Linked DNA regions of Pelodiscus sinensis. The protein of the gene in region 3 binds, or shares a complex with, the protein of the main gene of each other region. Links are inferred from orthologs where the notes say so. Each region holds a gene or a part of one and is shown on either strand. Other genes may lie near its edges.

Evidence for each region. Proteins that work in one complex are often made in the same cells at the same time.
Region 1: the proteins of SKP1 (region 3) and BTRC are in contact, whole or in part, in a crystal structure (PDB 1P22), measured with the Homo sapiens proteins. The link is inferred for Pelodiscus sinensis from reciprocal best matches to the Homo sapiens genes SKP1 and BTRC. Residues at the interface, in NP_733779.1 of Homo sapiens: Asn51, Ala53, Ile54, Val95, Asp96, Gln97, Gly98, Thr99, Leu100, Phe101, Ile104, Leu105, Asn108, Leu116, Asp117, Cys120, Lys121, Val123, Ala124, Ile127, Lys128, Gly129, Pro132, Ile135, Arg136, Lys137, Thr138, Phe139, Asn140, Ile141; in NP_378663.1 of Homo sapiens: Met175, Leu176, Gln177, Arg178, Asp179, Phe180, Ala183, Leu184, Arg187, Leu189, His191, Ile192, Ile196, Leu197, Tyr199, Leu200, Asp201, Ser204, Cys206, Ala207, Ala208, Glu209, Leu210, Val211, Cys212, Lys213, Glu214, Trp215, Tyr216, Arg269.
Region 2: the proteins of SKP1 (region 3) and FBXL17 are in contact, whole or in part, in a crystal structure (PDB 6W66), measured with the Homo sapiens proteins. The link is inferred for Pelodiscus sinensis from reciprocal best matches to the Homo sapiens genes SKP1 and FBXL17. Residues at the interface, in NP_733779.1 of Homo sapiens: Lys78, Glu79, Lys80, Arg81, Gln97, Gly98, Phe101, Ile104, Leu105, Asn108, Leu116, Asp117, Cys120, Lys121, Val123, Ala124, Ile127, Lys128, Gly129, Lys130, Thr131, Pro132, Ile135, Arg136, Phe139, Asn140, Ile141, Lys142, Asn143, Asp144; in NP_001156787.2 of Homo sapiens: Pro319, Asp320, Ile321, Asn322, Leu324, Pro325, Ile328, Lys331, Ile332, Phe333, Ser334, Asn335, Leu336, Leu338, Asp339, Glu340, Cys342, Leu343, Ser344, Ser346, Leu347, Val348, Cys349, Lys350, Trp352, Arg353, Gln364, Arg370, Gln371, Val373.

What each region holds. Positions count from the first base shown.
Region 1 is NC_134718.1:73,920,207-73,928,056, forward strand, and holds the start of BTRC (F-box/WD repeat-containing protein 1A), read left to right. Parts: upstream 1-4,845; 5' UTR 4,846-4,975; coding exon 4,976-5,023; intron 5,024-7,850. UniProt on the Homo sapiens protein: Substrate recognition component of a SCF (SKP1-CUL1-F-box protein) E3 ubiquitin-protein ligase complex which mediates the ubiquitination and subsequent proteasomal degradation of target proteins. Recognizes and binds to phosphorylated target proteins.
Region 2 is NC_134716.1:63,827,310-63,834,456, forward strand, and holds the start of FBXL17 (F-box/LRR-repeat protein 17), read left to right. Parts: upstream 1-4,142; 5' UTR 4,143-4,336; coding exon 4,337-5,083; intron 5,084-7,147. UniProt on the Homo sapiens protein: Substrate-recognition component of the SCF(FBXL17) E3 ubiquitin ligase complex, a key component of a quality control pathway required to ensure functional dimerization of BTB domain-containing proteins (dimerization quality control, DQC).
Region 3 is NC_134727.1:28,118,372-28,125,395, reverse strand, and holds the start of SKP1 (S-phase kinase-associated protein 1), read left to right. Parts: upstream 1-4,014; 5' UTR 4,015-4,174; intron 4,175-4,462; exon of another isoform or gene 4,463-4,606; intron 4,607-7,024. UniProt on the Homo sapiens protein: Essential component of the SCF (SKP1-CUL1-F-box protein) ubiquitin ligase complex, which mediates the ubiquitination of proteins involved in cell cycle progression, signal transduction and transcription.

The DNA of each region.
Region 1 (7,850 bases), on a different chromosome or scaffold from region 3:
CCAGTTAATGATTGCCGCCGCATTAATCCGGAGCCGTACCGCGGACGTGGGCTGCCAGGCACGAAGCAATAAGACGGCACAGAAATGATCCCTGTGGTAACTGTATGGGGAGGCCGCATCTTTCATCTACCCAAACTCGGCACCTGGCACGAGGCTCGGCACAAAATGCAGCCACCCGTGCAGAGCTCAGCCACTCCGGACAGAAAATGGGATCCCCTCGATAACCGCTGTCCGGAGAGGTTTGGCCGGGACACCCCTGCTGGGGTGGGAAAAGCCCGCAGGACCTTTGATCCAAATCGCGCTGTAAAAAGGCATTTGTTTCAGATTTGCAGGGTGTGATCTTATTGGGTCAGGAGACAGGATGGGAAAGGAGGGGTGAATCCATTTCCTCTGCATAACTCAGGGTGCTTAAATCAGGTACCGAGACCACGGTCTATCATGCTGTTGCGGGGTCGACAGAATTTGCTTGGGCCCTGGGCAAAGTGTGTGTGTGGGGAGGTTTCGTGCTCCCAGAAGGGGTGGGGCCTTAATCAGAAGGGGCAGGGTGGGGCCTCAGAGGGAATGAACAGAACAGGGCAATTACCATCCCCTTTCCCAGCTTCTGGCAGTTAAGGGCTTAAGACATCCAGAGCATGGGGTTGACTCCCTGATGGTCTTGGCTAGTAGCCATCGATGGACCCATCCTCCATGCATTTATCTAGTCGTCTTTTGAACCCACTTATACTTTTGGCCTTCACAATATCCCCCAGCAAGGAGTTCCACAAGTTGACTGCATATTGTGTGAAGAAATACTTCCTTTTTTTTTTTTTTTTTTTGGTTTGAAAGTGCTGCCTATTAATTCATTGGGCGACCCCAGGTTCTTGTGTTCTGTGAAGTCAATAACACTTCCCTATTCACTTTCTCCGCACCATTCCTGATTTTATAGACCTCTCTCATAACTTTGCCTTCACTGTTTTCTTTCTAAAGCGGAAAAGTCTTGAGTCTTTTTAATCTCTCCTGCTATGGAAGCTGTTCCATTCCCTGATCTTTTTTTCTCCCCCTTCTCTGTACATTTCCCCATATGAATATATCGTTTTTCAGAGAGGGCAACTGGAACTGCACGCAATATTCCAGGTGTGAGCCAGCCAGCGATTTATATACCGGGAGTTCCCAATTTACGAACGGGGTGTGTTCCAAAAGTTCGTCTGTAAGCCATTTGTTTGGAACTTGGAATGCATTTTCCCATAGATACAACGCTGTAAATGGCAGCTGAATTCCCAAGCTGTGAAGGCAGCGCCGTCGCCAGTAGCAGCATAGAACAGATGGCATGGGGCAGCGTATTGCTACCCTTCTGCATTGGTGCCAGTGATGGTGCTGCCTTCTAAGGTGGGTAGCTGGAGAGCTGTAGCTGCTGGCTGGGGGTTCTGAGCTACCATGCCTAGCAGTGCTGGGCTCTAATGCGGCAAGCCCATTGCAAATGAAGCACACAAGACGTTAACAATTGCCTCTGCTTTTTTCTCTCTCCCTGAGTAAAGCTCTTTGGGGGCAATGTTCATAAGAATGGCCAGACTGGGTCAGACCAACGGTCCATCTAGCCCAGTGTCCTGTCTGTCAACAGCGGCCAATACCAGATACCCCAGAGGGAGGGAACACAACAGTAATCCTTACCTGATCCCTCCCCGTCCCCCACCTCCGAAGAAACAGAAGCTTAGGGACACCATTCCTACCCAGCCTGGCTAACAGCCTTGATGACCTAACTTCCATGAATCTATATAGCTCTTTTTTGAACCTGGTTAAAGTCCTGGTCTTCACCACATCCTCTGGCGAGGAGTTCCACAGGTTGAGTGTGCGCTGAGTGAAGAAAAACGTCCTTTGGTTTGTTTTAAACCTGCTGCCCATTCATTTCATTGGGTGACCCCTAGTTCTTACATTGTGGGAATAAGTAAATAATTTTTCCTTTCACTTTTTCCACACCACTCACGATTCTATAGACCTCTAGCATATCCCCCCTAAGTCTCTTCTTCTCTAAGATGAAAAGTCCCAGTCTTTTTAATCTCTCTTCATATGGGACCTGTTCCAAACCCCTCATCATTTTTATCGCCCTTTGCTGAACCTTTTCCAGTGCCAAGAGATCTTTTTTGCCAATATAGCTTTAACACACAAGCAACTCCATCCCCACTCTGCAATCGAACCATCTCATAAACACTTATGATATGGGATGAGGAGTGGGTGATGTCTGCTCCCCAAATTCCCTCACAAGTCAGCCTGTCTCCCACAATCTGCCATGATAATCCCCCTCCAGTCAGTGAGCCTGCATCAGGACTCCAGATCTCCTTACACCTCGCCACACTTACACGGCTGCAGCGTGGCCCTGTGTAGACACGAGCCACGTGGCTTGTACTGGTGCAAACACAAGTGTGTGAAATTCTCACAAGGGTTTCATCAGCGCATGACCGTGGTGCAGCAGTATGTGCGTCACTTCCCATCATAGCGATGTGCCTGCATTCGCTATGTTGACAGCTGCTCCCATGTGTGTCATAGGTCCTATACCGTTCAGCAACCGGGGGAGATTCCCATTTAGCTGAGATGATAAGGATCTGGTTCTAGCCAGGCTGATGCAGTGACGTTCTCAATGGCTGTGGGGTGCCCTGTGCTGCCATGAAATCCTCTGTGGTTTGGCACCACAACACACCTGTAGGGCCTTAACCATCCCTCTCATGCAGGGGCATCTTTTTTGGAAAAAGTCGGGCATGGAACTGGCTGTGATGGGTTAGTGGTCTGGTCCCATCTCTGAGGGGATGCAGGGAGGAGACAGCCTGGTCCTATCCTGGGGCAGAGATCAGGACCTAGCTCCCTCTGTGGTCTGCTCTGGGGCTGCCATGGCAGGATGCAGCTTCCTGCCCAGCCAGTGGGAAATAGGGATGGAGCTGATAATGTGGCACTTTAGGAACCTAGGCCTGCTCCAGTAGCCTCCCCAGGCCCAGGGAAGACCCTGCAGCAAGGCCAGGAAGGAGCTACAAAGGATGGAGCATGCATCCCTCCCCACCCTAAAGCAAATGGTGCTCCCATGAACTCTACCCGTCCAGCCATGGAACAGGGTCGCTGTGTCTCCACCAGTGCCACACGGGGTCACTTGCAGACACTTCCTCCCCGCAGCAGGAGTTACTTGCTTTCCTTTGCAAGGCCCTTTGTGGTCTATGTCCACCCCATCTGTAACCACCCCCCCCCCCCCACTCCTCCTGCCTCTGCTTTGCCAATGCCTGGAGCCTTTGTCACCCACCAGGTAACATTTTCAAACAAGCGGTTGTCTCCTTTACCACCTCTCGCACCTACGGTGTCGCGAGACGGCCGTCCAGCACTCCAACCTTTCGGCACTTCCTTCCACTCCTCGCTGGTCTGGCGGAACTACCTGCTGGCTGTAGATTGCAAGCTGTTTGGGGCAGGGACCAGCTCTTTGTTCCGTGTCTGTACAGCGCCTAGCGTAACAGGCACCACCCCCACTGGCAGTTCTAGGTGTTAGCGCAGTGCAGGCAGCGAGGACAAGGGGGAATTGCTAACTCGGGAGCATCAAAACGTTGGGGGTTGGACCTGGTGAAATCACACAACAAACGTTGGGCTGGTGCAAGAGCTGCCAAGCTACAGCTGTCCCACTCGTAAGCTTCCTCTGCACCCATCAGAGAAACGTCCTTAAAAAAAAAAAAGGCAAGGGTTGCCCTGTGCTCTAGATCAGGGGCAGTTAAAATACAGCTCATGAGCGGCCACTGGATCCCTACCTGCCCCACTCCTGCACGCTGCTCAAAGAAGTAAGCTAGCTCTATGCTTATGTGACTGCTGTGAACCTGGGGAGAGGCTTCTCATCCTGCCCCTGCCCCAGCACAATCTCACAGCTCCCATAGGCTGGTTTCTGGCCAATGGGAGCTGCCTGTTCTCAGGACCGGCAGCACGCAAAGTACCCCTCTCCCGGGCTCACAATGTTTAGAGCAGCTTCTGCTTTGAGCAGCTTGTGGGGGCATGGAAGGCAGGGAGCCTGGCTGAGAAACCTGCTGGGCAGGGCTGTTGGCCAGGAATTGTTCAGGTAAGTGTCTCCCAGCCGAAGCCTGCCTCTGGCACCCAGCCTCTTCTTTCCCCCAGTCCTCTACCCCCCGTCCTTCCTGCACTCCTGTCCCACATAACCCAAATCCTCTGCACCACTGATCCTGCACCCATATCCCCTCCTGCACCCCTCCTCCAGGTCACAATCCCCTTCCAGACCTTGCACCCTCATCCCCACCCCCAGTTACAACCCAAATCCTTGCACTCCCGCTCTAGATCACAACCGCCTCCCAGATCCTGCACCGCTGCCTCCATCCTTCCTCCTGGTCAGAATCCTCTCCTGCACCACCTCTTGCACCTCTCCTGTCCCAGGTCATAGCCCCCTCCTGCGCCCGCCCTCCATCCCACGCCCTGCACCCCTCCGGTCAGAGCATGGAAGATGCAGCCCTCGACCGACTTTCCAAATTCTTGGAGTGCCCCCTCCCATCAAAAACTACTGCCCCCCCCCCTGCCCTGGCTGGGGCCAGGCTGCCCCGCGTGCACCTGACTTGATGCCCTGCGGAGGGGCTGCGATTCTAATCACGCGACTCCAGGAGCCGGCCGGCCAGTGGCCGATCAGCTGGGCGCATGGGAGTCCTGGCAGTGCTCCTGCTCCTTCCCCGCCTACCGCCCCGCGCAGACTACAACTCCCATCGGCCCCCGCGCGCCCCCCGCCAGCAGCCTGCCATGCGCACAGCTGCTCTGCGGCCGACAGGGCCCGCGGCCGCGCGGCATGCCGGGAGGTGTAGTGCTTCCGGGCCGCCCGGGCGCTTGCCGGGGCCGCGGCCGGGGACTACATTTCCCGTGGGCCTGCGGGCGGCGCGCGCGCCCTGCCGGGGGGAAGCGGCGGTTCCTGCCTGCGCTGGCTGCGGCCTGCCACTGAGGGACTGGGCGGCCCCGGCCCTGGCCCCGGCGGGGCGGGACTATGGAGCCGGCCGAGGCCGTGCTGCAGGACAAGGCCCTGAAGTTCATGGTGAGCCGCCTGCGGGGCCGGAGCGCGGGGGGGCGGCGAGGGGGAGGGGCGCGCTGTGCGGGGGGGGGCTGCTCTACGGGAGTGCCGGGGGGGGGGGAGATGGGGGAGCAGGACACCGGGGGGGGGAGGGCGCTGCTCTACGGGAGTGCCGGGGGGGGGGGAGATGGGGGAGCAGGACGCCGGGGGGGGGAGGGCGCTGCTCTACGGGAGTGCCGGGGGGGGAGAGATGGGGGAGCAGGACGCCGGGGGGGGGAGGGCGCTGCTCTACGGGAGTGCCGGGGGGGGAGAGATGGGGGAGCAGGACGCCGGGGGGGGGAGGGCGCTGCTCTACGGGAGTGCCGGGGGGGGGGGGAGATGGGGAGCAGGACACCGGGGGGGGGGAGGGCGCTGCTCTACGGGAGTGCCGGGGGGGGGGAGAGATGGGGGAGCAGGACACCGGGGGGGGAAGGGCGCTGCTCTACGGGAGTGCCGGGGGGGGGGAGATGGGGGAGCAGGACACCGGGGGGGGGGAGGGCGCTGCTCTACGGGAGTGCCGGGGGGGGGAGATGGGGAGCAGGACACCAGGGGGGGGGGGAGGGCGCTGCTCTACGGGAGTGCCGGGGGGGGGGAGAGATGGGGGAGCAGGACGCCGGGGGGGAGAGGGTGCTGCTCTATGGGAATGCCGAGAGAGGGTCAAGTGGTGGGGGAGCACGGCCCTATGGGGAGAGCTGGGGGAGCGGTACCTGTCGAGTCACAGATGGGGGGGCTGCTGGCAGGGGGAGGGGGTGCTTGGGGGAGCAGGCATCTGCGGGATAGGTGAGTGCTAGGGTGGGGGGTTACCAGCGGGTGGGAGATTCAGGGCTGGAGAACAAGGCATGGGGGGTTCTGAGCGATGCGAGTGCCAGAGCGATGGTGCGGGAGGGCCTGGGGAAGTTGGTCATGGGGATGGGTGTCGCAGGGTATTGAGACTCTCAAAGGACTCTGATAGGAGAGAAACGGGTTGGGGAGTGCGAGAGCAGGGGGCACTTAGGATAGCATTAGGTGGGGAAATCAGCCAGGGTGCAGAGTCAGGAAGAAGGCAAGTTCTGGAGTGTGAGAGGCAGGGACCTTGGAGCAAGGGTGAGTGCTGGGATGGGGGTGGGGGAAGGCACCTGAGCCTTTGTAAAGTCACAGTGAGATCTTTGTACAGTGTGGGCAGGGCTTGGGGTATCTTTTGGCTGCACTGGCGGATGCTAGTTGATGAGCATAGAGTTTTTTAGGAGGTGGGCTTAAATGCTTGGATTTGGGCGCAAGAGCATGTGGACGAGAAACCTTGTGCTGGGGATCAGGGAGGGACCTGCAGATGTGGCAGTTGGGGATCTGAAGGTATGTTTAGGACCATCAGAGAACTGTAGAGATTCTAAACAAGATTTCTGGCCTGAGTGGTGGTAAGAGATGATCAACGAAGTATTGGTGCGAGGTGAGGTTTTGGTTCTGCGTAGAGTATTTGGGGTGCACATCTGCTCTCCGTAGTCTTTTTTTCTTAAGCCCCTTTTTAGCCTGGGTATGGAAATATACATAGTGACATTTTACCCTGTTACATCTGCCTGCTCTATTACATCCTTGTTAATAGAGAGGATGCAAAGAGCCTTTACATTGTCTTGGGTTATAAATTGGCCTGTGGCACAGAAAATAGCTTTGGCTATCAGTAGCCAGACGAGTTTTCAAATGTGACTGGCTTTTTTAGATTTGGGGTAATACACCGAGTGAGACGACAATTATATTCCTCCTTTATCATTGTTTATATTTCTAAGTTGTTTGATTGGAAAAATAGCATCAAGAAACTAAAGCAGAGAGTGATGCCAGCTTTAGTTTAATACTAATTTTAGACGCTCTAAACTGTTTTGCTTCTAAGAATACATTTCAAGTGACTGGCAACATTTGTTGGAAGTTTATTTGTTGTGAATTAATGCTTTCACTGGCACAGAATTAAATCTGTGCTCATAAAGAACATAAAATACAGCTAAGCTTTTAGAATGTATGCCCAGTATGGAAATATTGAAACACCAGATACAAATCTTGGCTTTCCTTTGCATTTCAAAAGTCGGTAGAAATTCTAAATTGTTGATTAGCTTCTTTTTTTTTAATCTTGTATAATTGGTACATATTTTTAAATCTCTTATGTCCAGATTAGGAATGTTACATTTCAAGTTAATCAGATAATTGAGGAGACAATGGAATTTCCATCGACTACTCGATTAGTCGATAAGGGGGGCACTTGCTATCCTACTGCGCCTCTCCCTTTGAAATGTCCAAGAGCCGCCCATGACTCTTGTACATTTCAAAGAGAGAGAGGTAGCAGAGAGCAAAGAAATCCCAGCTGGTGTGGGTTCCCCTCTGTGCCTCTTCCTTTGAAATATACAAGAGTCACAGGCAGCTCTTGTACAGTCCAAAGGGAAAGGACCAGCGCTAATGGGACAGTTTAAATCGTCACTTGCACTGTTTCCCCGCTGCCCCCTGTGGAGAGGGTGCAGGGGTGGGAAATGGCTTTTAACCTGGCTCCCCCAGTGCTGGCTCTTGCTCCCCCCCTCCTTACTGCCCCTCTCTGATAGAGGCAGCAATGGAGGGGGAGAAGCAACTAGTCAAATTCCTACTCCACTGCTTGAGAAGCATTTATTGGGTAGTCGACTAGTCACATACATCTGTAGTCCAGGTCATTGAATTCTTTTGCCAGTTCCTGTATTTTTGTCAAGTTTATGGAAGAGGTGAAAAAGATAGGGGGTGTCAAAATATCCTTGGGAGTTTAAAAAAAAAAAAAAAAAAAAAAGCCCTCGCCATATGTAATTGACTAGAGGAATGTGCCATGGCT
Region 2 (7,147 bases), on a different chromosome or scaffold from region 3:
AAACCCAAGTTAATGATCAGAAAAATTGGATGAACAATGTGGTTACAAGGAATGCCAGACAAAGATAGGCAATTTACAGCAGGATGCCAAATTAAAGTTACTGTTAACAAATGTAATGTAACAAATTGGAAGGTACTTAAATTACTCACACAAAGTGCTACGATCTAAATAAACTATATCCAGAAAGGAAAAAGAGTTTCACTTCTTGAACACTGTTTGGTGTTCAGGACTAGTCATTCTATGTTGAAAAGGATACAGCAGAAAAAAACAATATCCAGAAACGGGTTACAAAAATTATGAGAAGTGTTGGGAAAAATACCAGATAAGAAGAGAAGAAAGAAGATAGAGGAACTTCATGCTTTTAGAGCATTCCTACCATGAGCTGCAACTAATCGCTCATCACCTTTATGCATGGGCAGGCTTGTGCCCATCCACCTCTTGATTCTTAGTAGGTGCAACTAATCACTGTGTTTGACTTTAAGCAAAGGTTACTATGGGTTGAACCTCTCTAATCTGGCACCCTCCAGACCTGACTGATGCTGAACCAGAAAATTTGCTGAACTATGGGAGCTCAATAATGTCTAACAACATTACTAACACTTCCACTGCTTAGAACACATTTAGGGATAAATGAGATCTAAATAACGGCACAGAACACTAAAATCCTGGAGCAGTGGCTGTAAACAAACTTTACAGGACCGTGGAGAAACTTGGTCACACCCATGATAAGTGGACATCTGGAACATCAAGGGAAAAACTATGCCAAATCTGACATTAATTTCTATTTGAATTTTTAAATGAATTGTAATGTTTTACAGATTCAGATTAAATTCTCTCATATGGATGTTTTTCTTTAAGATGCAACATACCTTATCTTGTGCTGTTAAAGACAGCATTGGAAATATATGTAGAAAACAAAAATATAATGTGTCATTGATCATGTAATCCCAACATAAAAAGTTGTTATTGATAATAGGTATTCTCAATAGGATCATATATTTTTAATTAAAATCTGTTTTTTCCCTCTTAGTGAAGGGCAAAATTCTCCTCTTATTTGAACATGATGTAAATGAAGAGCAATCCAATTTATACACTGTAACAAAGAGCAAATTTTTGCCCCATATTGTTTAAAAACTAAGGCACTTTGGGGTATTTTATTAAAGTTATTAAGGCAGTAATCTAGCAAATGCTTAGACACAAGCTCAGCTCAAAACTGCCATTAACACTGAGCCCTGTGGATAAATTTTAAGACTTAAATGTAACCACTTGTGTCTTTGCAGGGACCTAAAGAGAGACCAATTATACAATCTGTTTCTTGTAGACCAAACTGTTAAAAGCATTAAACCCAAAAGAAGTCAGCTGGAACATTTAGAGTTTGGGGGAAAAAATCTAAAGAGGGGACATAGAGTTTGGGGGAAGCCAAACACCGGGGGCTACATCTACACTACCAGCCTCTTCTGCAAGAGGAAATGCAAATGGAGCCCTCATTTGTATATGTCACATTCTCATTTGCATTTCCTCCTCGGATCCCTTTTGCGCAAGAAGTTTTTGCACAAAAAAGATGCTGTGTAGTCATCCTAAGTGTGATTTTGAAATATATGTTACATGTGTAACTTCATTCATCTTGTTAACTCCACTTAAATCAATAGGAACAACTCACATAAATCAAGTTACTTGCTTGTCTGCGGAAGTGGGCCTATACATAAACATAATGTATGCTTGTCTTTAAAACTTTTAACACAATTAAGGGATATTTTTTCAGTTAACATTTTCATCTATTAAATAAGATTTTTTGGGGGGGGATGTCAATGTGTAGAGGATCACATGATTAACAGATAAGGCTGGGCTTATTGGTTAATTCCGTTGACTACACACACAGAGGTAGCAAAGGTGGGGAAGGCAGCACCTGGTGCCAGTGGGACGGTGTGGTGACACTGGATCCCACAGAGCTGTCTGTCCCCCTATGCTGCTGCCTCCATATCAGAGGGACCGGTGCGGTAGGGAGTGAGGATGGTAGAAGCAGATACACATGGGCTATGTCTACACTGGCGAGTTCTTGCGCAAGAACAGCCATTCTTGCGCAAGAACCCACAGAGTGTCCACACTGCCCGCCTGCTCTTGCACAAGAAGATTTACAGTACAGTGTTGGAAGAAAGGGCTTCCCGTGCAAGAGCTATGTTCTTTTCTAACAAGTGTAAGCCCTCTTGCACAAGAGGACAGTGTGGATGCGCGGCCGGGGCTTCTTGTGCAAGAAAGCCCTATGGCTAAACTGGCCATCAGAGCTTTCTTGTGCAAGAGAGCGTCCACACTGCCATGGATGTTCTTGCGCAAAAGCACATGGCAGTGTGAACGTGTTCTTGTGCAAGAGTTCTTGTGCAAGAACCTGCCAATGTAGACATAGCCATGGAGAGCTGACTTTTAAGCCAGCTCTCCGTACATGTCATCTCCATGGAGCTGCCTGCCCCCCACCTTACTGCCTCCCAATGAGGTGGGGGGAGGAAGGCAGGAGTCAGTGTTCAAGGGGAGCAGGCTTAAAAAAGCTGGCTTCCCACGAGCATTGAGTCTGCTTCCCTTTCCCCCCACACTGCTACCTCTGTCAGATGCAGTGGTGCAGGAGGGCAAGCAAGGGAGGCTGCTATGGAACAGCCTCTGACTGCAGTGGGCCCTGGGCTTGCCTACAGCCCCCTGCTGATGGCAGGGGGCTCCCTGTGAGTGGGGTCTGGAGCACACAGTCCTCGGGGCAGGGCCAGGGCCAGGGCCAGGGCCAGCAGCCAATCCAACAGTCATGTAGTGACTAAAAATTGATGTGGTTACACAATTATTCAATTACATGGTATCTAACATCCTCCCTATCTTTTCCAGAATATTGATCTCATATAGTTGTCTGTTTTCAATGGTTTTACACAATTCTTTCTGATAAAAATGTTACAATAAACTATTGTTAAAACATTATCCAAATTCCAAAAAATACGCTATTCGTGTGTATCTCAACTCCACTGTATTTTTAAAATCAGAACATTCTCATGATTGTGGTTAGACTGAAATCAAGGGGAAGAACAGCCCAGCAACCCAGGTCCTGGGCCATATTGTCCAGTACAGTATACAGGAAAAACAGGGTGGTGGTGCAAGTTGTGTGTGAGAATTTGGTCCGGTGTTGTGAAATGTAGTTTTTCCTCAGTAATTTAGTTACTTTGGGGAGCCTATTTTAAAAGCCAGTTCTTTTGTTAGGTGTTAGGGAGGGATAGTAATCCCTGAAATGTTGAATCTGATTGAAATTCTTGGGGAAGCCGTTCTTGGAGGTGATTACCATATTGGAAAGCAGCTCTTGGGGGATGTTTGGGGCAATTTGTGGGGGGGGGACACAGACTGTTGTGAGCGAACACTACCCATGGCAGTGTGTGTAGTCTCTTGGGCCGTGTCCAGACTCAGGGGTTCTTTCGAAAAAAGTAGCCTTTTTTCGAAAGAACTTCCCCTGCGTCCAGACTCAAGCCGCGTTCTTTCGAAATTATTTCGAAAGAATGCGGCTTTTCTTTCGATGGCGGTAAACCTCAATTTACGAGGAAGAACGCCTTCTTTCGAAAGTTTCTCTTTTGAAAGAAGGCGTTCTTCAATGTAAAGAGGCCATCTTCGAAAGAGAGCATCCAGACTCGCTGGGTGCTCTCTTTTGAAAAAGCGGATTTCTCTTTCGAAAGATCCGCCTGCAGTCTAGACGCGATCTTTCGAAAGAGGCTCTTTCGAAAGATGCTTTCGAAAGAGCCTCTTTCGAAAGAAGCCTGCAGTCTAGACATAGCCTTGGTGCAGTACGGAGCAATATGCTTGTGTTAAAAGAAGTTCCTTTGTGTGGCCTGAGGGAGCAGAAGCAGGGCACTTGTGTTTGTGTGAGGAGGAAGGAGTGGGGGCTGTTGTGAGCTGTGTGTGTGTGTGAGAGGACTGTGGGGCTGTCCCAGAGTGTGGGGGGGGGGGGGGGGGGAGGAAGGGGGAGAGTGCAAGTACTGTAGGAGCAGAGTGGCTGGGCTCGGGGAGGGCGGCCGCCGGAGTTGCGGCTTGGCGGCCCTAGCACAGCCCGGCCGTAGGCGGCAGCACCGCAGAGCGCCAGTGCCGGAGCGGCCCCTCTTGGCGGGCCGCGAGCGGCTTCTGGGTAAGGTCAGGGCGGCGGTAGCGGAAGCTTCTCCCCGTTCAATATCCCGGAAGAACCGGCGCCACCTCCCGCTCCCCGCCTAGCGACCGGGCCCATGACACCCGCCGCCCCTGCCCCCCGCCGCAGCTGACACCGCGAAGGGACCTGCCCGGGGACGGCGGCCGGGCCCCCGCAAATCCCCGCTCCGGAGCCTCCTATATGGGCCACCTGCTCTCGAGGGAGGGAACCAGCCTGAGCGGGGAGAGGAGCCGCCGCCGCCGCCGCCGGAGAAAGGTGCCGCAGCGCAGCCGGAGCTGCTTTCTGCGCGGGCCCTGCATGCTCTGCTTCATCGTGCACGGCGCCAGCACGCCCGCCCCGGAGCAGCCCCTGCCCGGCCGGGACTCGCCTCGCTGCGCGGCCCTCAGCTCCCCGGAGCAGCGCGCCGCCCGCCGCCTCCTGCACCTCCCGCCCGGCGCCTGGGAGCAGCGGGGCCCGTGTCAGCGCCTGCTCCTGTCGGGCCTGCTGCCCCCGCCCGTGCGGGCCTTCCTGGGCTCAGCGCGGCCGCCCGGCGAGCCGGCCCCCGACATGGTGTGTAAGCGCAAAGGGGCCGGCCTGCCCGCCTGCCCTCCCTGCAAACAGCCCCGCTGCGCCGCCGCCCCGCCGGAACCGGAGGCCGCCGCCTGCCAGTGTCCGAGCGAGCAGCAGCAGCTCTGCCCCCTGCCCTGTGCCACCGACCGCGCTGCCAGCGCTGGGGGGCCGCCGCTCAGGGGCCCGGCCGGGGAGAGCAGCGGCGTGGGGGAGCTGGCTCCGGCTCCTGAGCTGCCCCCGCCGTACGAGGAGGAGGAGGAGGAAAGCAACGAGCCGGAGCGACAGGAGCCGCCCGAGAACCACAGCGAGTGCTGCCGAGAGCCGCCGCTATCGCCTCCCTCCGACATCAACCAGCTACCGCCCTCCATCCTGCTCAAGGTGAGTCTGGATGCGGGCCTGACCCCGCCGCGGGGACGGTGATTCCTCGCAAGCGGCTTTAGAGGGAGCCAGAGTTGAAAGTGACTCTGTGGTGCTGCTCAGGGAGCTGTCAGGATGGTGAGAAAGGGCCGCCTTTCTTCCTTGCGGGGCTCTGGCTATGGATATGCAGGGTATGTCTCCTCGCTGCACCCACACACCCAGGGGGATGACCTGTGTCAGCTGACTCGGTTTCAAGGGAATCAGGATAGAGATCTGTTTAATGGGGCATAGAGATATTTGGGTTGTTGCATCAGGGGTAGGAGACAAGGCAACGTTAGACCAAGGTTAGTGGGACTTGAGCTTGCTGACTAATGTTCAGGAACCCTGGCATTGAGTGTCTGAATTATATTTAACACCTACCACAAGCTTTTTCTAATCTGGGTTCAAATTCTAGGGTTCTGGCATCCACATTGTAGTACACAGATCTGATTTAAAGCTTCCAAAGTACCTACCATGTAGCCTGTTCCCTAAAAGGTGGAAGCTTTCATTCTTAGACTTGGGTAGTGTAGGAAACTTTACTGCCAGCTCTGTTACCAGGAAAAAGCTTATTTTGCAGAAGGTGTGATTAGATTGCTTTCTGTTGCAAATTCCGGAGGTCTCTGAACTTGTGCTTGCAGGTCAGTGGTCAGAAAGAATGGTTCAGTGCTGACTTGAGCTGCTGCCTTTTGCCAACTGTATGTGGGAGGTGAAAGTCTTCCGTTTTCAATGGTGGATTAAAGATTATTGGGATAAGGAAGACTAAGGAATCTTGTTCAGTGGAATTATGGTGTATTTCCAGATGGCTCTCAGGACTTCAGTCAAATTTGAGCGCATTTGCACTGCAAAGCAGTAGGGCTCAGAAGCTGGGTCCCAGGTTGACTCCAGCTTCTGTGTCAAAGCACTGGGATTGCACAACTGCAGTGTAGATCCTAAGGAGTTAGCTTTGATCCTGGGCTGAATCACAGGTGTATGAGCCAGTACAAACATACCCTGGAATCCTGCTTTTGCGCTTCAGGTTTACTGCTTTTCTTCACTAAGGCTTGTAGGTATGTTTACATCAATACATAAAGTTAATACTCTAATAGGCACATGTAAGAGATTTCACATAGAGACAAATGCTGATCCTGTTGCAGTGAGTATGAGCAGGATCAGACCCCCCTTTTTTTTTCTGAACAGTAGACAAGAAATAGTATCCTCTTATGTCCCTCCTCCCACCCCACTATGCAGATACTCAGGGATAAGTCAAACTCAAGTCTTCCTTTTCCACAGAATTAAATTGATCTACTTCAGGTTAACATATGGCTACCACAATAATTATTGCTGTTTTTCATGTTCACATTGGCCCCCCCACTGCTCGTGGTGCATGTTGTCGTGAAGAGTGCTTGTATGGATAAAAGTGAAACATTGTGGGGAGTGAAAGAGGAGGTCCCTTATTCCTTCATCTCAGGGGCTGACAGCGGGAGCTGGGAGGGCAAGGATCCAGTGGTGAACTCAGGATGGGACTGACAGCAGGGTAGCAGGGCTCCTATATCTGATTTCCAGATCAGGGCTGACAGTCAAGAGGTTATGTAGGTCTGGAGTCTCAAACACATAGCTCGTGAGCCATTTGCGACCTGAGCAGTTGCACAATCTGGCCTGCACGTGGCTGCTGGCGTGTGAATCCCTGTGACTCTGGGGGGTTCCTGTACTCTTCTCCCAAGTCCAGTCGCTGCTCTACCCCACCTGTTCCCCACAGGGACATAGCCTAAGTGATTACTGGGGACAACCTCTTCCCTGGCCCTCACCATAGTGGTAGGAGCTGCAGAGAAGTGGAGTAATGTAGCAGCTTCTGCCACAATATACCAGTCTAGCCTGGTTGCTTTGCTTCACCATGGCAGCAGGAAGTGGAATGTTCTAGCCCCACACCGGGCTTAGGAAATGGCAGTAGAGCAGAGCAGGCTGCTGTGTTGCTCTACTTTCCCATAGCTCCTACACTCATGGTGAGTACAGGGGGGCCTGATCCCTAGTGCTGGCCACAGCCTGCCCAGAACTCTGCAGCATAACCTG
Region 3 (7,024 bases):
AAATAGGGTTGCTAACTAAGATTGCTACCTCTCTAATGGCACAAAATGGAACACACTTGCCCTTTTCCTTCTGTGAGGCCCTGCCCCCAGTGGCTTCATCTCCCCTCCCCTCATTGTGCTGTCTCCTCCACCTTTTCTCCCCAGACCTGCTAATCTTTCCTATGGGGGCTCCAGCCTATAGCAGCCACAGAGTTGGTGCCTAGGGTGGGGTGAGAGATACAGGCTCTGGGAGGGAGTTTGGGTGCAGAAGGAGACTCTGGGCAGGGGCACAGGGTTGAAGTGTGGAAGCTATGGTGTTCCCTTGGTGCTTACTGTGGCTTCCAGGAAGCAACTGCCAGCTCCCTGCAGCCCCTAGGTGCAAGGAGGCTCTGTCCCCATGCCTATGTCCTGGAGTCTCCAGGAATTAAAGATTAAGCTTTAATCACTTAAAATGTGGTGACATTTCCAGGAATGTATCAGAGTGAGCATATGAGGCAAAGCATGCGAGAGAAGGAGACAAAGACTGTGTTTTTGGCTGTTAGGCCCTGAGCTACTGAAGCAGGTGATCTGGTTTAGATGCTTAACTCTAGGAAAGGGTTTCTAGTTGAAGCTTCCAAGCAGAGGGAGTTGCATCTCTTACTCACCAGTCAGGTGCACTGGCAGCTTGCTGGCTTTTGAGGAGCCCTTTCTTAGGCACCGAACAAGTTGCCAGCTTTCCCAACTGGAAAGATTGGATGCTATTGCCATGAATGCTGTCTGGTTAGGAATGTTGGAAACCCTAATAACTTGTCTCCTGCATTGTATATGGAGCAGAGGCGCCTAGCTTGGGGATGAGGCTTCTACTAGGCAGCAGACTGCATCAGAGGTAGGTGGTGTAATGCTGAGTAGAGCCACGCCTAAGTACTTTGAGGTTCTGGGCCTAATACTGCTATGAGCTCCATGCTGGCAGACTCCAACATTGACATCAGTGGGACTACACTCAGAGGCAGCATTTCACTCAGCTGTATGGAGCTCATTGGAGGTTTGGATTTTAAATTATTAATGATTTCCAGTTTAAGCCCAAATTTAAGTGTGTGCCCCATCAACTTGTGTGCAGCTGCTATCCAGCTATTTGGGTTTTACATTTCCAGTTTGATTAATCAAACTGTTGTCTTAAACAATAACTTTACATTATCCTCAAAATCTCAATTACAATTTTGTTTAGTTAAGGACCAAAGTTTTGCTAATCTGTTGGATGGTTGCGTGACGTAAGGTTTTATTGGGTTTACATCTGAAATGGTGACTCAGGAAACTGAAGTAATAGGGAATGAATTCATTATTTTAAGTTTCTCTTGTATCCCTTGTTTTGAAATTTTACCTCACACTGGGGGTTTGAGAGGAAGACAGGTACCATACAACAAAGCCCTTAAAGTGAAGCAGGATTATTCTGAATAGTGTTTTGTTTTATTCTAGTACTAATGTTGTGAACGATGCCTAATGGCTCTTGGCCATTTGTTTGTAAAAGATGGCACTGAGCCAACTTTCTTGAGAAATCAAGTGCTGCAGTAGACACATGACATTTCCCTTCTGGAGGTAGGATTTAATGTAATGATGAACAGCATTAACACATTCATGTAAGAGGATTTTAGCTGTCAGTACAGCTTTTAGATTAAATTGCTGCTTAGCAAATATATCCTCAGCCCTCAACATTAAGTTTTTAATAGCCTTATTTCTCTCAAGTGCCCTTCATCAAGTAATAATGGTATCCCTAGCTTGCTTGGAGAAATTGACAACTGCGAGTTTCATTGTGTTATGCGCCTAGTGCATATAGGTAAGTACAGTACCTTGAAAGCAGAGATGTGAATATTTGCAGAGTTGACTCAGCCTTCTGAGGCATATAGGAAAATGTGTAGTTATACAATCAAAATCTTTTGAGTAACCCTGTCCTTTGCAGAATGGAATTAGAACCTCTCAACTGTGTTATATGATGGGCTCTATACCGCTAACAGTTAATGAAAATCACATCTCTCCGGCTACGTCTAGGAAAAAGTTTTTCCGTTAAAAGCATTTGTGGAAAAGAGCGTCTAGATCGGCATGGTCGCTTTTGCGCAAAAGCACTTTTTGCGGAAAAGTTTCCGTGCCAATCTAGATGCGGTTTTGTGCAAGAAAGCCCCGATCGCCATTTTCGCCATCGGGGCTTTTTTGCGCAAAACGGTTATCAGCCGGTTAAAAGCATTTGCACAAGAGGGCTTTTTCCTGAATGGGAGAGTCATTGTATTTGCTGAAGAACACTGACAATCTTACATTAGATTGTCAGTGTTCTTGTGCAAATTCAAAGTGGCCAGTGTAGACAGCTGGCAAGTTTTTCCGCAAAAGCAACGCAGCCTCCCAGTTTAAGATACATAAATGTGTGTTTCAGAATCAAAATGAATGACACAAAAATTATTCATGCAGGAATATTAAAAAGTTGCATGTTTTGTTCTTTTATGCTGCAAGTAACTTTGCTATAACACCAATTTTATTATTTCTCCTGTAACTAAAAAGGGGGGGGGGACAACTTGTGGGGAAGGTAGGGAAATTTAGGACTAAATCTCTGAAAATGAAGTTCACAGAGCTGATAAGATTTCCCTTTAGCACAACTGGTAGGGGTCTTTTTGAAGCAGGAGGTTCTGTTCCTCTGAAAGGTACTGGGGCTGAAGTGTTGTACCACAATAACACCAATCAAGTCCAAGCTGGCCTGAGATTTTTTACGATGCTCCTTCAGCAAACATAATTTTCAGAATATATCAGGATTAGCTGTAATGCTTGGTAGGGATGTTAAATTTCAATTAATTAATTAATTAATCAAATAGTCAATGGGATTTCCATTGACTATTCGATTAGTTAAGGACTACTGCATTCCACCTTTAAAATGTACAAGAGCCCCAGCAGACATTCTTGTACATTTCAAATATTTAAATGCTGTGTGAAGCCTGGACTCCCCCAGGCTCCATGCAGTGCTTCTGCTTTGAAATATACAAGAGTCCCAATGGTGACTCTTGTACATTTCAAAATTGGCTGCTGCTGCTGCATCTCTGCCCCCTCCCACAGAGCTGCAGCGAACTGGCTTCCCCTGCACTCCACCTTCTTACCCCCCTTGCTCTCTCTTTGTGATAGAGGCAACGGGGCGGGGGAGGGGGGAAACGGGGACGGGATGGGACTGACTAGTCAAACAAAAGCTTATCGAAGAGTGGACATGCTAGTTATCTGATAGTTGACTAGTCGCTTACATCCCTAGTGCTTGCATGTAGAGATGAGGATCAAGGCACAAACTCAGAGGAAGACTTCGTCCCTGCCTGACAGGCAGGAGTTTTGGAAGGGCAACTGTGTTAGTCTGTTGTAGCAAAAACTAATAACAAAAAACAGTGCTATAGCACCTTAAAGACTAACACATTTATTTGGGCACAAGCTTTTGTTGGGCTGGAACTCATTTGACAAAGTAGGGTCCTGCTTATGGAAGCTTATGCCCAAATAAACTTGTCAGGGTTCAGTTGCCACAGCACTCCTTTTTGTTTTCCCAGGTACAAACGAATCCCACCAAAGCCAGCTCATCACTCCCATTTTGCTAATGTGGAAAGAGAGTTGGCTATGGCTGTAGAAGGAGCTAGTGCTAGAGCTGGGAGCTTTGCCCCAGGGGAGTCTGTGCCACGCCCTCTCCTGGTAGATGAGGAAAGGACTGTTGAAAAGCTGCAGGCTGGGCATGGGGCCTAGCCCTGAAAGCTGCCAACATCACTGGGGGGGGCTAGCAGCGCACACGTGCTGGGATAAGCCCCCTCCACCCATTATGAGCCTGTTGCCGTTGCCATGTGAGGCGGCTTTTCTGGTTAGACACCCTCTGCCTGAGAGACGCCGTGGCTCTTGCTTAATCTCCCCCGCCCGGCTGTTTACATGCTGGGCATCCCTTCACCCCTCGCCTCCCTGCATCGAAGTGGCGGTGGGCAGGGCGGTTGTGTCCTGCGGGCGGGCTCCCTGTGCCATTTCCTCGTGCCCGTTCAGGCGATCTGCGCGGACGCCTCCGGGTTGTGTCTGTGAGGCAGCGGCGGGGTCCTTCGCCTTCCACCTCCCGCAGTCCCGCCCCGCCCCGCGGTATAAAAGGCGTCGCCGCAGTCGGGCCCTAGCTGCTGTCGCTGGGGGGTCGGTCCGCGCCGAGGGACGCAGAGCCGGGCGCTGTGCCGCGGTGAGGGCCAGGGCTGAGGGCTCTTCCCCGAGCGGGGGCGCGGCGGGGCTGGCGGTCCCGGGAGCGGGGCTGGGGGGCCAGTGGCGGTGAAGGCCGCAGCGTCCGCCCTGGGGAAGCTAGGCCCGGCCCCGCGCGGAGGGAAGCGGGGAGGTGACAGCAGGTGGTTGCTAGGCGCTGCGGCCTGGGGATCCTCCCCTTACCTCAAGGCGGGCGGGTGGGGGAGCGCCTTACGGGCGGGGTCTCCGTACCGCTTGCGGGGCGGCGGCCCGCGGGTTTCCCCGGACGCAGGGCCGGCCTGGGCTGGGTGCAGTGCCTCGAGGGGGTGCTGCCCCGGTGGAAGGACCCCTCTGAGACCCTCGCAGGCGGACAAGCCCCGCTCTGCTCTCGGCTGCGTTGTGCGTTGCCCTGGGCCCCACCGGGCACTTCTTTAAGGTGGGTGGCGGCCTGTCAGACCCTGCGCCTGACCCCCTCCAAACAAGGGGCTGACACGCGACGTTTCACAATGGAGACTAACGCAGCTGCCAAAGTGGGCTCCAGCCCACGGAAGCTGGTGTCCAAATAAACGTGTTAGGGTTCAGGGTGCCACAGGGCCTCCTCGTTCTTCTTAATGGCGATCCCAGGGGTTCTGAGAAATGCAGAAGAGCCCCGGCTCTCTCCGCTTTGCAGGGCACAGAGTTGGCTAAAGATACCATAAGTGGTTGAGCTGAGCAGCGAGGGCCAATAAAAATGTGAGCGCAGTGCTGTAATTGAAGTACATCCCTTAATAAATAATAATAATAGTATAATGACTCTTTACCAGATTCAGCACTGTCACATTTGGGCTCTGCACCATTCTGCTTAGTCACTGTGTTGGCACCGGTTATCTGAGGCGAACTTGTTTTTTTTTTTTTCTAAGTTCTACACTGCAAGTACATCTATCTTTTTTTACTAACGAAGTACACTGATCTCCATTATTGTTTAAGTCTCCTCTCCATAATATGTGCTTTTTTTTTTAAAGTAAGACTTCTGACAATAAAGTCCTGTTTTTGAAATTGATACAATCATGTATTTGAAAGATGGACTGAAATTAATGTGAAACTGACCTTAATGCAAATAGCTGTGCATAAAGTGAATAAGCTAGAATCTATGCATCTATCCTATCATGCAGCATCATGATTTTAAGCTTCTACAACCTGTGTATCTAGACCATTAATTTTTATTTCATTTGTTGCACCTTAAAATGACTAAATTTTGGCTGACTAGATCCAAATAAGTATCATGTCAAGATGCCAGGATTAATTTTAAACAGTTGATTGTGTGATAATGTCTTGTGATGCTTAAAGTTGTGTAGCTAAATAGATCATACAAATAACTACTCAGTGTCATTGTAGTTGTGCATGTAGACTGAATAGACAAGAAAACTTGATACTGTCACCTTAACAAGCATAAACCTGATAATGTTCCTTTCCAGAAAACATTCTCATGTAGGGAAAAAGTGTAAATCTCAAATATGAAGCTAAAATCTAAAGAAAGTCTTGCATTTCCAGATTGCAATAAACAGTAACTTCTGTATGACACAATACAGTTAAAATTCTTAGCGGTAGCTGTGTTAGTCTGTAACTTTAAAAACAAGTAGTCCTATGGCACCTTAGACCTGGCTGTCCAACATGCTTGTTGCTAGCTATATGTGGCTATTTGGTTGGTTGAGTGTGGCTTGTGGCTATTTGGTTGGTTGAGTGTGGCTTGTTTGCTATAGCAAATAGCCACTATAGTGCCTACTGCTTCAGAACTGTTTGGATGCCACGGCCTTATGTAAGCTCATGAGCTTTCATGGTCTTTCATCAGATGAATAGTAGTTAAAATACTTAGATAGTAAAAATTGTCCCTACAGTGAATATTTCAGTATAGTTAGATTGAAAATCGGATATTTAAATTACTGCTGATTCAGTCTGCTTATGCAACAAGCAGTGCTGTGATGTAAATCCAAATTATAACACTTAGTAGAAATATGCCATATTGAGGCTAAACAATGTGCAACCGGTAACATAATTTCAAGGAAACTAATAAAATGCATTGCATGGTGTCAAGTATCAGAGGGGTAGCCGTGTTAGTCTGAATCTGCAAAAGCGATGAGGAGTCCTGTGGCACCTTATAGACTAACTGAAGTGTAGGAGCATAAGCTTTCGTGGGCCAAGACCCACTTCGTCAGATGCATGTAGTGGCCACTACATGCATCTGACGAAGTGGGTCTTGGCCCACGAAAGCTTATGCTCCTACACTTCAGTTAGTCTATAAGGTGCCACAGGACTCCTCATCGCTTTAATAAAATGCAGAAAACCTGAATAGTTGAATGTAGGCTTTTCCTATCTCATCATTGCTTTTTTTTTGGGTTCAGTAAAAGGGATTGCAGAGGTGACTGTTTTTAGATGAAGTAATTTTTATCTAGCAAGTAAGAGCCTTATTTGTATTGAAGCAGTTTTAACTTCTCATTATAAGACTGGTCTGCTTAATGCTACTGAGTAATGTAACTTTAATCAATATTCAGCACTCTAAAAAGAGAAACCATAGTTGTAACGTTGCAGCAACAAATTTCATATCCTACTTAAGTGAGAAATGCAGTGCTTGTTTGTCTGAGCCCATCCAAAAAAATCCCTACCACTTAAATTTTCACGTAGGATTGATTGTAACTCTGCCAAACATGAACTGATGAGATTGCACTCATCCTCTCAGATGAGGTTCTGTATTCAGCTTGCATTCTGCTTAATAACCTGCACTGGCTGAGCTCCATTGGCCTGGGTTTGTTGCAGTAGTCCGGATCAGCAGTATTGACATGCTAGAGTCTGCATTATGAAACAGATAAAACAATATAGC